Linked DNA regions of Callithrix jacchus. The protein of the gene in region 1 purifies or fractionates together with the protein of each later gene. This does not show direct contact. Links are inferred from orthologs where the notes say so. Each region holds a gene or a part of one and is shown on either strand. Other genes may lie near its edges.

Region 1 (6,383 bases):
TGCCAGGCTGGCCCCATCTCCTTGACGACCCTGGTTACTGCCCAGCTGCTCCTGTCCCCTCTTTTGTCCCTTCTTCAGAGTTCCTTGCCAGGCCTGTAGGGAATCCCAGCTCAAGCTCTAGGCAACGGCTCCTGTGTTGTCACTGGGGCAACGTTGCTGACTCCCCTGCATCCTCTGTCCTGGGGGCCCTCAGGCCCGCCCTGCAGTTCACCATCAGCCCTGGAGTTGCTGGGACTCAGGCACTGACACTGGGCACTTCAAGCAGGTCACCCGACCCCTCCAAGTCTCTGTGCTCATCTGTTGAATGGGCAGGCTAGGGTCTCTCCTCCCTCATGGTGGCGGTTGTTGGCTGCCTGCCTCGGAGGGAGGTGGGTTTTCTTACCCATGGCTGAAGTTTGGCCTGAAGCTGTGGGAAAAGGCAGGCTGAACTCTCCTCCCCTCTGGCTTTCTTGTCCAGGCCTGGCCTTGCATATTTGGCCTGCCTGGTCCCATCTGGCGAGGCACAGCTCCCAGAGCCCACAGACACCTGGGGCTGAAGTGAAGCGAAGCCCCAGCCTCTCACCAGGCTGAGGCCAAGCCTGCTGGGCGTGTGTATTCTCACTTGATCTGCAACAGCCCTCCAAGGCGTGGGAGTCACTGACTCAGTTTACAGGAAGTGAAGGTCTCATAGCAGCACCCGACTTGCAGGAGTGAGTGGAGCCTGCACACCCAGCTTGGGGATACTGTGGAGGTGCAGGGTGGGAGCTTTAGGGAGGGGGCCTCCGTTCTTCAGAGATGACTCCTGGATGGTCAGCCCATGGTGGGGCCCACCAGAAATAGTCTGGGTGAAGGAGGAGCCTTGGGTATCTCTTGCCATGATTTCCTGGTCTATGCCTGTTTCCACCTTGACCCGCCACCCTCAGCTATGGTGCTCCTGGTGTGGAATTCACAGGCCTACACCGGGATGCAGCCACCGTCACACAGATGCACTTCTTGCCCGGCCAGGTGAGCCTCTGCATCCCACTGGCCAGCTCCCTGTGGCCCCCATATCCACTCACTCCCCTAGGCCAGCCCAGTTTTCATCTCTGCTCATATACCAGGGCCGCCTCCTGACCCTGCTTGATGACAGCAGCCTGCATTTGTGGGAGATTGTCCACCATAATGGCTGTGCCCACCTGGAAGAGGCACTGAGCTTCCAGCTGCCCAGCCGTCCCGGCTTTGATGGTGCCAGGTACTGGAGAACTTGGCTGGGGCCAACCACCAGGCGGGGAGGATCCAGGGAGGCTCTGAGAGCCTGCTGTGTAAAGGCAGCATGGGGACGGGCAGCTGCTAGCAGGGGCTGGGTTCAGGGAGCCGTGCCTTGAGCCGTGCCTGGGTCCTAGGCTGCAGCTGTTGGACCCTGCAGACAGCGAGTCTGGTCTGATGCTGTCCCACCCCCCAGGCCCCTTTCCCTGCAAGGCCGTCAACAAGATTCTGTGGCGGAACTGTAAATCTGGGTAGGTCAAGGGAGTGGGTGTCTGATGTGAGTGAGGTGTACTCTGCGAACTTTTCAGGTTAAATGGGAAGTTTGGGTTGAGTCGAGGTGAGCAAGTAGTTAACATTGTGAACAGCAGGAGGTATATGCATTATATGCCAAACTCCTAGGACCTGAGGCCTGGCACTACACTTACTACATTGATGGGGGTATCTAGGGGTTTGGGGCAGGGCCTAAGCCAGTAAAATAACAGCAAGAGTCCCCTGGCCCCTCAGTTGTGGGTGGGAGACAGGCCTTTCTCTGCATAGGTGAGAGGACAGGCTTGAGGGCATGGAGGGTCCCATGGGCTGTGTTTGGTGAGGTGCTGGCAGCATGCCCCAGCTGAGTGAGAGTAGGGGGCATCCCTCTCCCCAGCCCTGCCTGAAATAGCTGGAATAAGGGAGTCCTAACCCAGGGTTGGATTCCTGGTGCCTCCCAGCTTCTGCAGATGGGGGTATCTGGGGCCCTCCTGTGAAGTGAGGAGATATCTGAGGGTTGGCAGCACGTTTCCTAGGTGGGGCTCAGGGAGGAGCTCCTGGTCCTGGCTTGGGCAATGCCCTGGTTCCTGCTGTCCTCTCCTGGTGGGTGGGAGGAGCTGGGAGCTCAGTCTGCAAGACCTGGGGAGCCTATTTTTATCTGTCTCCCTGCTGACATCCTGATGAATAATTGAGCGGGCTGATTATGACCCATGTCTTCCTGGGGTGGCTCTGTAAGTAGGCCCTAGTGTGTGCTGTGGAACCAGCGATGAGTTATCAGCAGTGGCCCAGCCCCTCACACCCCACCTCAGCAGGTGGATGGGCTCCCACCCTCACTCCCTTCCCCTTGTTACCTGCAGTGTACCACCCAGCCTTACTCGAGTCACAGTGGTCCTGCTAGTGGCTGCCAGCGACATAGCAGCCCTGGGCACTGAGGGCAGCAGTGTCTTCTTCCTGGATGTGACCACCCTGACCCTGCTTGAGGGGCAGACGCTCGCCCCAGGCGAGGTTCTGCGCAGGTAAGAGGCCTGGTGGGCTTCCTAGCACACACTCTATGCCCGGGAGGTTCTCCTGGCTCACACCCACCTTTCTTCACAGCGTGCCAGATGACTACCGCTGCGGAAAGGCGCTGGGCCCTGTGGAGTCGCTCCAGGGACACCTGTGGCACCCCACGAAGATTCTCATTGGCTACAGCCGGGGCCTGCTGGTCATCTGGAACCAGGCCTCACAGTGTGCGGACCACGTCTTCCTGGGGAATCAGGTAGGTGGGTGAGGCCTGTGTCCCCTCAGCCTGGGACCCTTGTGCACGCCCACCATGGCTCATGCCTGCCTGTTTGCCCACACCTGCCCACAGCAGCTGGAGAGCCTATGCTGGGGGCGTGACAGCAGCACTGTCGTCAGCTCGCACAGCGATGGCAGCTACGCTGTCTGGTCTGTGGATACCGGCAGCTCCCCAATGCTGCAGCCCACAGTGGCCACCACACCTTACGGTGAGTGCTGGGGAGGCTTCAGCCAGAGGGTGGTGACAGGAGGAGGCACCACTGAGCCAAGCCAAACTGGCTGAGGAGTGACTCCCCTGAGGGCCTGGTCTGGGGGCAGTGTGCCTCTCCCCCACCCCCCACGACTTTCCGGGGAGGCAGGAGGCAGCTGCAAGGTAGAGAGCAGTAGAGGAATGGCAGAAGTGCTAAGAACCACCAGCGAGTCTGGTCTGATGCTGTCCCACCCCCCAGGCCCCTTTCCCTGCAAGGCCATCAACAAGATTCTGTGGCGGAACTGTGAATCTGGGTAGGTCAAGGGAGTGGGTGTCCGATGTGAGTTGGGTCTCGATGGGGGCTGGAAGGGTGGGCTCTGCCTGGGACATGCAGTATGTACTCCAGAACCAGGTGGCTCATGGCTCTCACACCTCCCTCCACACACAGGGGCCACTTTATCATCTTCAGTGGTGGCATGCCCCGTGCCAGCTATGGTGACCGCCACTGTGTGAGTGTGCTTCGAGCTGAGACATTGGTGACGCTGGACTTCACCTCCCGCATCATCGACTTCTTCACTGTACACAGTATTCGGCCTGAGGATGGTGGGTGCCCTGCCCTGCCCTACCCTACCCTTTCCCAGCCCCACCTGGCACCTTTGCCACCTGTGGCTGCACTCACCCCATGGCCCTTCCATCCCACAGAATTTGATGACCCCCAAGCGCTGGCTGTGCTGCTGGAAGAGGAGCTGGTGGTGTTGGACCTGCAGACTCCTGGCTGGCCAGCGGTGCCCGCCCCATACCTGGCCCCACTGCATTCGTCTGCTATCACCTGCTCGGCCCATGTGGCCAATGTCCCCGCCAAGCTGTGGGCCCGCATAGTGAGCGCTGGCGAGCAGCAGAGCCCCCAGCCTGTCTCCAGTGCCTTGGTGTGTTCGGGGGTTGGGGAGTCTTGCAGGGTGGAGTCTTGATGAGTGGGGAGTGTTCCAGTTCTAGGCCTGGGGGTCAGAATGTGCCATGCGTGGGATGAGAGGGAGAAGATGTTTGTCCTAACCTTGTGTGCACATCTCTGCCACCCCCTCCCAGAGCTGGCCCATCACTGGGGGCCGGAACCTAGCCCAGGAGCCGTTGCAGCGAGGGCTGCTGCTGACCGGGTAGGTGTGCATGCGTATGTGGGTGAGGGGCCCCTTGCTGTTGGGGGAGAGCCCAGGAGACTCAGGCCTGGCCCCTGGTGGAACCAGGTAGTTCCTCATTGCCTAGGGTGGATTGGGATGAAACCTCCCTGGACCTTGGTTCAAGGTGCTGGCTGCCCTGCTCTGCCTTTTGGCCTGGAACTAAGCTCTACCAAACCTGAGGGCTCCACCCACCCAGCCTGCCTGCCCTGGGACTGGAAAATCTGGGCTGGCCCACACTGAGGTACCCAGGGAAGGTGCCAGAGAGCCCAACCTGGGCCTGGCGGGCACTGACGTGCCCGGTGACTCAAGCCCCAACTTCCTGCCCTGCCCCCACTCCCACCTGTGCTGGGACCCTCAGGCCTCTGGCTCTGGTGTGCCCTTCCTTGCTGAAGAGCTTACTGTGGCTTTCAGGGTTGCTGGAGTGTCTCAGCCAGTCACACACCTTTCATGCCCTGGCTCTGGGCTCTCACCACCGCCTGGGGCCCTGCTTGGGCTCTGCAGCTGTGTCCTAAGGCTGTGCCCTAGATTTGTCTGCTCCTTCCCCTGCCCCTCCCTGCTTCCTCCCAGCCTCTGCAGTCTTCCTGCTCCTCCACCTACGTGGCTGTCTTGGGCCCCAGACAGCTCCTCCCCCTGGGATGCCCCACACTCTGTGACTGCCCTTGCTCTTGATCACTTTTGATAAGTGCTCCAGTGTGGACAGAACCCCTATAGTCCTCTGCTCTCTGCATGTCCCCTTCTGCTACTTCCTTTTAATCAGGGTGGTCATTTCCACCCTGTTTGGTTTAAAGGGCCCACGTGTATGTGTTTCATGTGGCCTGGCATAGAGCGGGTGCACAGTGCGCCTGTGCTGTATACAGTAGGTGCCTATTGCTTGTCATAACAATAGGATTCCAGTCAGTGTTTGGCACGCGCGGTATGTGCTTAGTGAGTGGTCATCGGATAAGTGAATGGAGGGGTTGTACAGGCCTTCCAGGAACCCAGGGGTGGCCCTGACATCTGCCCTCCCTGCAGCCATGAGGACGGCACTGTGAGGTTCTGGGATGCCTCGGGTGTGGCGCTGCGGCCACTGTATAAGCTGAGCACAGCCGGACTCTTCCAGACAGACTGTGAGCACGCTGACAGCCTGGCCCAGGCTGCTGAGGACGACTGGCCACCATTCCGCAAGGTGGGCCCCTCCCCTGGCCCTGAGGAGCTGGTCCCTACTCTGCCTGGACTCATCATTCCTTCCCCTCCTTCCAGGTGGGCTGCTTCGATCCCTACAGTGATGATCCCCGGCTTGGTGTGCAGAAGGTTGCTCTCTGCAAGTACACAGCCCAGATGGTGGTGGCTGGCACTGCAGGCCAGGTAGGGCTGGGTGTGCCCTGGGTTGGAGATGTCAGGGAGGGTTTTCTGGAGATGGGTCTTAACTGGAGGGTCTGGTGGAGGGGGAGATGGACTGGCACAGGCAAAAGCCAAGGTGGGAATAGGGCTCCTGGTGGGACTGGTGGGGCTGGCTGGGGTGAGGACAGATAGGAAGTGGCCTGTTGCTGGGGGCCTTGAATCAGGTTCTGGCCGGGGGTCGGGAAACACAGAGTGTTGAAGAGGGGGCAGGAACTCGTGCCCATTCTGTGCTCAGGTGCTCTCATGGCATACAGGAAGTGCTCACTGTGCCCTTATTGCTAACTGGGAGACAGAGGCTCAGGGTAAGGATGGGCACTTCGCTCTCAGAGGGCAGGGACTAGTGTGTCTTGGTCACCACTGTGTTCCTTGGTGCTCAGCAAGGGCCTTGGTATACAGTAGGCATTCAGTGAGTGCATATTTGGCTGATGAACTGAAGACAGTCCTAGAACCACCTTGGTGGTACCTGGGGCTGCTTCAGAGGCTACAGGCCGAGTGGGGCCCTGGGCAGCCCCTCCCCTGTGCTGACATTCCGCCTGCCTGGCTGTGGACTCAGGTGCTGGTACTGGAGCTCAGTGATGTGCCGGCGGAGCAGGCGGTCAGCGTGGCCATCGTGGACCTCCTCCAGGACCGTGAGGGCTTCACATGGAAGGGCCATGAGCGGCTGAGCCCACGCACAGGGCTGCTGCCCTGGCCTGCTGGCTTCCAGCCCCGTGTCCTGGTACAGTGCCTGCCGCCAGCTGCTGTCACCGCTGTCACACTCCACACCGAGTGGAGCCTCGTGGCCTTTGGCACCAGTCATGGCTTTGGCCTATTTGATTACCAGCGCAAGAGCCCTGTGCTGGCCAGGTGTGTGGGGTGGGGGCGGCTGGGCAGCTGGAGCCCCCAGCAAGATG
Region 2 (7,069 bases), about 36 Mb from region 1:
TTGGGAGACCGAGGTGGGCAGATCATGAGGTCAGGAGTTCGAGACCAGCCCGGTTAACATGACAAAACCCTGTCTCTACTAAAAACACAAAAATTAGCCAGGCGTGGTGGCAGGTGCCTGTAATCCCAGCTACTCAGGAGGCTGAGGCAGGAGAATTGCTTGAACCTACGAGGTGGAGATTGCAGTGAGCTGAAAGGCTGAAATTCAGGCCCAATGGACATACTTACAGCCTTAACATCTCTCGGAATGAAAGTTTTCTTTCTTCCCAGTACCTTGATCAAATTCAAACTATTTTCCTCATTCCTTCCTTATACAACCCAGGTGCTCGGGTTGAAATAATTTTCCTCAGATCCAGGAAGCTCTGGCCTAGCCCTCCCTCTAGAAAGGAAAGTCCAAGTAAAGAGGGATGCCACACCCGGGGAAGGGAGAGAGGATGTGACAATACCTCCAGGAATGCAGGGCCCACGCAGGTGCACTGGCACCCATGAACTTCCTTTTTAAAAGGGCCTGATAAATCAGTACCGATAACAGGAGTAAAATTCAACCACCCAACAACACTCACTCACACAGAGCTGGGTGCTGCTCCCAGGGTGTGGTCCTGCCAATCAGGGAGAGGAGGGGGAAACCTAAGAATCCAGCTCTCTAAAGGTGGTGACATGGTTTCTAGTCCAGCCATGATCAGAATGTGGTCCCTGGGAGTCCCTGAGACCCCTTTATGGGGGGGGTCTTTGCAAAGCCAAAACTGTTTTCACAAAACTAAGATGTCATTTGTTCTCCTCATTGTCATTGTCTGGAGAGTATACAATGGAGTTTTCCAGAAGGGACAAGACGTGATGACATCATCAGTCTGATGACTGTTGGAATGCATGCTGGTGTATTCCCATGTTTTAGACACATCCGTTTTAATTCTAAGATAAATACTGAAAGATATAACACATAAAGTACTTTGGGGTCCTCCATGATTTTTAATAGTGTAAACGGGTCTTGAGAACAATAAAGTTGGGAACTGCTGTGCTAGTCCAAACGGGAGTTACAGGCCCTGCAGCTGCTCTGATAGGCACTTTATTTCCGGCTGAGCTTGAGTCACCTCGTATGTGCTTTCGTACAGCGGGTGGAGGCAGCTTGCTTATTTATTATTCAGCTTGGATTGGTGTCCTTTCCACCTGTGCTGCCACCTCAGAAGACCAGAAAAACCTTAAATTCCCCCACAAACGTCTGGTGACCTGAATCCTCCAGGGGGAAAAAAAAATGAGCTTCTCACCTTTGAACACAGGTGGGGCAAAGTGAGCCTGCAGAAAGGACACCCTCAGCTGCAGCACAGTACCCACTGGGAGTCAGGCTCTGTACTACTCAATGACAGCAAAGCCCAAGTGCTCCCTGCCTTCGGGAGCTTTCATTCTATGCTGGAGGCGGATTACTCACAAAACTCAGATGCACACAAAAATGGAAACCTGGAACTTGTCACCCGTGCTGGGAAACCGGTACAAGTGTTAGGAGGCATCCGAGGTGGGCAGGGAGGTAAGGGGAGGAAGGCACTCAAACCACTCTTCTTGCCAGATCTAAAGCTGGACCCTCCTCCTCCACCTCCACTCCCCCACCCCCTTTCTGGTTTGCAGGTTTCAACAGCTCTTGGATTCCCAGAACCCACAGGGAGCCCTTGGGACTTGGGAATCTCCTCCAGCCCAAATCTTCAGTCTTCTCCTCTCCTCCCCATGGCCAACAGGGTCTGTGTGAAGAGAGGCCGGGCTCAGGGACTGGGACATTCAGAGAGGAGAATTCAGAGTTTTGTTGCTCTGGGACACAGCTTGGTCACTCCGGGAAACGAACACAACCCATTGGCTGTCATTACTAGAAACAGCGAATGGCTAAGGAATGGCGGGAGGAGGGAAGAGGACTTCAGAGGTTTAAAGAAAAAAAAAAAAAAAAAAAGCACTGGAAGACCGGACTAGAAATCCTCTGGGAGGCTGGGCCCGCAAGGAGCCTTCCCGCGCCTCAAGCCCACTTTCCTTCCCTCTCGACCTGACGAACTTAGGGCGTGCAGAGTCTCTTCGGACAAAGTCAAGCCAAGAGAGCCCTAAGCTTCTCCTCCAGCAACTGCTACAGAAGCTAGAAAACTTAAATTTTGCAAACAAGACTTGCAGCGGGACACCTAAGCGACGCTAAAGGGCGGTGGAGGGGATGCCGCTTCCCAAAGTGGAAGCGGGGAGGGGGACCGGCGGACACCAAACAGCCCCGTGGAGCCTCGGCCACCGGCAGCGCTAGGCGCCCCATCCCCAGAGCCAAGCGTGTGACTCGCGCGCCGGACAACGAGGCGCGCGCTTGCGCGTGCGCAAAAGACCCACCCAGCCGAGCCCTTCTTCAGGTGCGCTCGCGCTTCCGGCCGACCGCCCCGCGTGCTTTCCTCGGGCGGAAACTCCAGAACCCGCGCATGCGCCCTCTGGCTCTCCGGCTTGATGAGGGGCGTAGGTCCACGGCTTCAGGTGATCCCGCCCCTCCCTCGAAGCGCAGGACCAATCGCGCAGCGAAAGGCGGGGTTTTTTGAGGAGGCGGCCCGCCCACGCATCGCGCGAGGCGTGTATCGATTGGTTGGCGCCGCGGGCGCAGGTGCGCGTTTCCTATTGGGTGTGGGCGGAGCGCGAGCGGTTGCAGCAGCTTCGGGGGCGGCAGGTGAGCACGCGCACGCGCCGCGGCTGTGGCCCGGCTCGGGTGCGCGCGCGCGGGCTCGCGGAGGAGGTGGCTGAGGGAGAGGTTGCGGCGCCTGTGGCCTCCGCTCCGCCCCCTCCTCCTCCTCCTCCTCCAGCGCTGTCGTCGCCGCCGCCGCCGGGGCCCGGAGGGAGGGAGCTGCGTCTCCGCCCGCCGCACAGCCAGTCCGACCCTCGGTCCCGCCGTGTGAGCAGCCGACCGAGTGCAGCTCGGCGCAGACGCCAGAGGTGCGGCCGCCTTCTTTGCAGGTGCCTGTGAGGAGGCTCCCGGGCCGCAGCCGCCTTCCGAGCCCGCCGGCCGCGCACTCGCTCCCTGCTCTCCAGAGGGGCCGCCCGGCCGGAGGAGGCCGCCGCTGGCCCGGCGTTCAGCATGAATCGCAGCCACCGGCACGCGGCGGGCAGCGGCTGCCTGGGCACCATGGAGGTGAAGAGCAAGGTGCGCGGGGCACGGGCTGGGCGGAGCGGCGGGCCTGGGGGGCCAGGGCCTGGGAGAGGCTGGGCAGGTCTCGGAGCGCCGGGGGAGGCGACGGTCCGAGCTGCCCCGGGGTCTGGACGTGCGGGCGGGGGATGGTGGGTAATAAACTTGCCGAGGAGGGTGCGGCGGGGGTCGGTGGGCGCTAGTGTCCGTCCGCCCATGGCCCCGGCAGGAAGAAGATCTAATCCAGCGTTTAATCTCGTCCCGTAAATCTCATTCCCGTGTTCACGGCTGGGAGTAGGGGCCAAGGTATGCCCGAGGATGGCACACATTTAGTGGAATGCGAGGCGGCTCAAAAGATGTAGGGGAATCCTGCCTGCTGGGCTGTGAATAAAGGGCCCTGGACCACCTCGTTCCCCCTTTCTGGGGTTCAGGGGCGCATCGAGTGGCGAAGGAGAGAGCCCAGTGAACTAAATAGCCCTTGAAAAGTTCCCTTTGCTTCCTGCTAGCGCTCTTTCTAGAACTAACTTTGGTATGCATTTAATCTGTAAAATTAGCGCTATCACCTTACGCTGGAGTAGCACTTTACAGTTTGAGTTTGGATGCTCTTTTCATTCCATCCTGCTACTTACTTACATCAAGTGTTTTTCCCCTTGACCAGCGGTATGCCAATCTGCTGATAATTATTTCGGTATTCACTGAATTCCTAAATCGCAAGGCTCGGTGAGCAGGGGAGTCTGTAGGGATTAGTTAGGGAATGCCTTCCAAAGGGGGTTTTGAGATGGAGTTTGAAGGTGATCGGCAGCTACGGGAACATTTTCGACGAAGTTTCTTGAGTTGAAGAGTTAAAAGGAGCTTAGATAGTCTAGTCCAATTCTCTGAGAAGACTGAGGTTCAGAAAGGTTATGACTTCCCAAGCTCTTTTTTTGCAATGCCTTCATGCCTTTTTAACAGTAACTTTTAGGCACTGCAGAATACAAAACAGGGCACTGGCTGGGCCCTCGGAACATTTAAAATAGAATTGAAAAGGCCAAAACACAGAAAACGAAAAAATTGAAAGCGTATCAATTTCAAAAAAAAAAAAAGAAGTAATGGAGCGTCATAGATTGTAAGCCTACTAAGGAGTATGCAGAATCAAGGAGTGAGTTGAGTGGAGTAAGGAAAGCTTTCTAGAGCCTCTGGGTAGAATGGTTTTATTGTCTACGGTTGATAAGCAAAGTTCTGTAAGTTTCTGTAACTGAGAATCACATCGAGAAAATCTACATTTGTTTGTAACATCATTTAAAAATGTGATTTGGCACTGAAATGAGGATTGGCACTAGTTTCAGAATCAGTAAGAAGTGTAGTTATAGCAATTTAAGGAATGTTCGTGTGTCTGTGTGCCATGTGCACGGCATAGCAAATTGAAGTGACTTGCTTGAGCTATATAGCGTGAAGATGACCCAAAATATGTAGCAGAGCTTTTCCTCTAGCGGTATAGTGGCAGTAGTGGTTCCGTGCCCAGTGGTTGAACCTTCTTACAGCATTTCTGTTATAAGTCTCGTTTGGATTTGTGGGCGTTGAGGTTATGGAAAGAAAAACACTTGTGATATTGCATAATCTTAAAAATAAGTTTATAGCCCTAATTTGGGTAGCAAATCTTTAATTTTTTTCTCATAAAAAATGAGTTGGAATTCTGTTTTATCAGTATTTATCAGCATGCTGATAAATACAATCAAATAGTAGTTTATCTCTAGTACTAAGAAACCTTGAGTGCTTTAAAACTGGAATTTCAGGCTTTTTGCCTTTCTCTTGTCAACTGATTTTTGAATCTTTCACATACTTCTGTCTAAACTACATGTTGTATATTTGAACTGCCATACTGCACTTTTAGTGAACCATGTCTCTTAAGTAGACTCATACACTGATTCTAGAAACATGCACTGAATGAATGCACTGAATGCACTATTCTAGCTGTTGACAAATAGGCAAGGTATAGGTAGGGGAGTATTCCTAATGTGTCTGTGACACCTTCTATCTTTCAAATATATATTTCTGATACATTTATTTTCAGCGGATTGAAATATTTGTCATCTAATCATTTAAAAAATATTTGGAGGGGTTTTTAAAACAGTATTTCCTTTGACATTGCTTTAGTGATAGCACAGCTTTTTTACAACACTAATCCCTAAGAGTTTGTAACGAAATAGGTAGTGTGCAGGTCCTTTTATTAATTCTTTTATTTTTCGTGTCAGGATCTTGCTCTGTCACTGGGGCTGGAGTACAATGGCACGATCATGGCTCACTGCAGCCTTAACCTCTCGGGCTCAAGTGATTCTCCCACTTCAGCCTCCTGAGTAGTGGGATTATACGCATGCGCCACTACACCCAGGTAATTTTTTTTTTTAATAGAGACGGGGGTCTTGCCAAGTTGCCCAGGCTGATCTTGAACTCCTGAGCTCAAGTGATGCCCCCATCTCTGCCTCCTGAAGTACTGGGACTACAGGCATGAGCCACTGCACCCTACCTGGTCTATTTTTCTTTTCTTTTATTTATTTTTATTTTTTAAAATCTTTTTAGAAACAGTTTTGCCATGTTGCTCATGCTGGTTTCTAACTCCTTAGCTCAAGTGATCTGCCCACCTAGGCCTTCCAAAGTGCTGGGATTACAGGAGGTAGCCACCACACCGGGTTCTCGTCCATTTTTAATATCTCTTTTTCTTCATATAAAGCAGTAGTGTCAGCCGTGTGTGGTGGCTCACTCCTGTAATCCCAGCACTTTGGGAGGCCAAGGTGGGCGAATCACCTGAGGTCAGGAGTTCAAGACCAGCCTGGCCAACATGATAAAATCCTATCTCTACTAAAAACACAAAAATTAGTTGTGCTTGGTGCTGCATGCCTGTCATCCCAGCTACTTGGGAGGCTGAGGCAGGAGAATCATGTGAGCCTGGGAGGTGGAGGTTGTGGTGAGCCGAGATTGTGTCACTGCACTCCAGCCTGAGTGACAGAGGGAGACTCCGTCTCAAAAAAATAAAAAGTTTGAAAAATGAATTAAAGCAGTAGTGTCAACTTTCTTATCTTTGCAAGTGGCAGGGAAAAATAATGATAATAAAATAATGGAGAACGTAAATATAAGTATAGTTAAATTTGTGATACCAGCTAGTATGTCACTTTTCTTTGGAAACTGATTTATCTTCCTAACTGTATCTCTAGTGTTGGAAAGATTCTTAATCAATAATCATGGTGATGTCCTTTAATAACCCTGGAACAGTCTTTGAGTCATAAAATTTCCTAATTATTATTCATAAGCAAATAGACTATGAAAATTAAGTTTGTATTTCTAGAATGTACCAACAGACACTGGGGGAAGGGAGTCCATACCTATTCTGGATGGCTAGGACAAACTAGATTAGGCTGTAAAACAGTTGTAAATGGTTCACATAGTGACTAATTGCTGATTGAATCTTAATTTTATCTGTTAGGTTTTTTGTTCATATAGTAAAAAGTTATCTTAATCCTATTGTTGCAAGAAGCATAACAATTTCTCTGGTTTTTTTTCTCCCCCATGCCAGCGTTGGCAAAGGTGCACATATACCATGAAGCTATATGATTTTTAAAATTGTTTTTATCATAACAGTTAAGAGAAGAAATTTCATCCAAAAGCTTTAACAAAAACACTGAAACCCTAAAATGTTAAATGATCAGATGTTACTCCCATTCCTACATCAGGGGAAGTGATAAACCCTGTAGATGAATCAGAAAGCTGTGATGCCAGAATAAAGAAAATGGAGGAGAAACTGTGACTTTTGATAACATCATAAGACTAACTGATATGAAGGGTGTTCCCTGAGTTTTTATTTACTTTGAAATGTGAAGGTGTGACTAAACTTTTTGAGAGCTTTAGATATGAGTCACCTTATTTTCTTGTCAGATGTTAGTGTTTATGTTTTAGGAATGTGTTTTGGGAACTGTTT

What was found. The genes of interacting proteins can lie anywhere in the genome.
Region 2: the proteins of LLGL1 (region 1) and PARD6B purify together in Homo sapiens (affinity purification with mass spectrometry; 5 studies listed by BioGRID and IntAct, counting the BioPlex papers as one, with this or other methods). This does not show direct contact. The link is inferred for Callithrix jacchus from reciprocal best matches to the Homo sapiens genes LLGL1 and PARD6B.

The regions. Positions count from the first base shown.
Region 1 is NC_133506.1:82,662,741-82,669,123, forward strand, and holds part of LLGL1 (lethal(2) giant larvae protein homolog 1), read left to right. Parts: intron 1-902; coding exon 903-984; intron 985-1,079; coding exon 1,080-1,210; intron 1,211-2,327; coding exon 2,328-2,486; intron 2,487-2,565; coding exon 2,566-2,728; intron 2,729-2,821; coding exon 2,822-2,957; intron 2,958-3,197; coding exon 3,198-3,252; intron 3,253-3,386; coding exon 3,387-3,541; intron 3,542-3,640; coding exon 3,641-3,864; intron 3,865-4,021; coding exon 4,022-4,089; intron 4,090-5,121; coding exon 5,122-5,275; intron 5,276-5,349; coding exon 5,350-5,454; intron 5,455-6,043; coding exon 6,044-6,336; intron 6,337-6,383. UniProt on the Homo sapiens protein: Cortical cytoskeleton protein found in a complex involved in maintaining cell polarity and epithelial integrity. Involved in the regulation of mitotic spindle orientation, proliferation, differentiation and tissue organization of neuroepithelial cells.
Region 2 is NC_133506.1:46,269,915-46,276,983, forward strand, and holds the start of PARD6B (partitioning defective 6 homolog beta), read left to right. Parts: upstream 1-2,866; 5' UTR 2,867-3,072; coding exon 3,073-3,138; intron 3,139-7,069. UniProt on the Homo sapiens protein: Adapter protein involved in asymmetrical cell division and cell polarization processes. Probably involved in formation of epithelial tight junctions.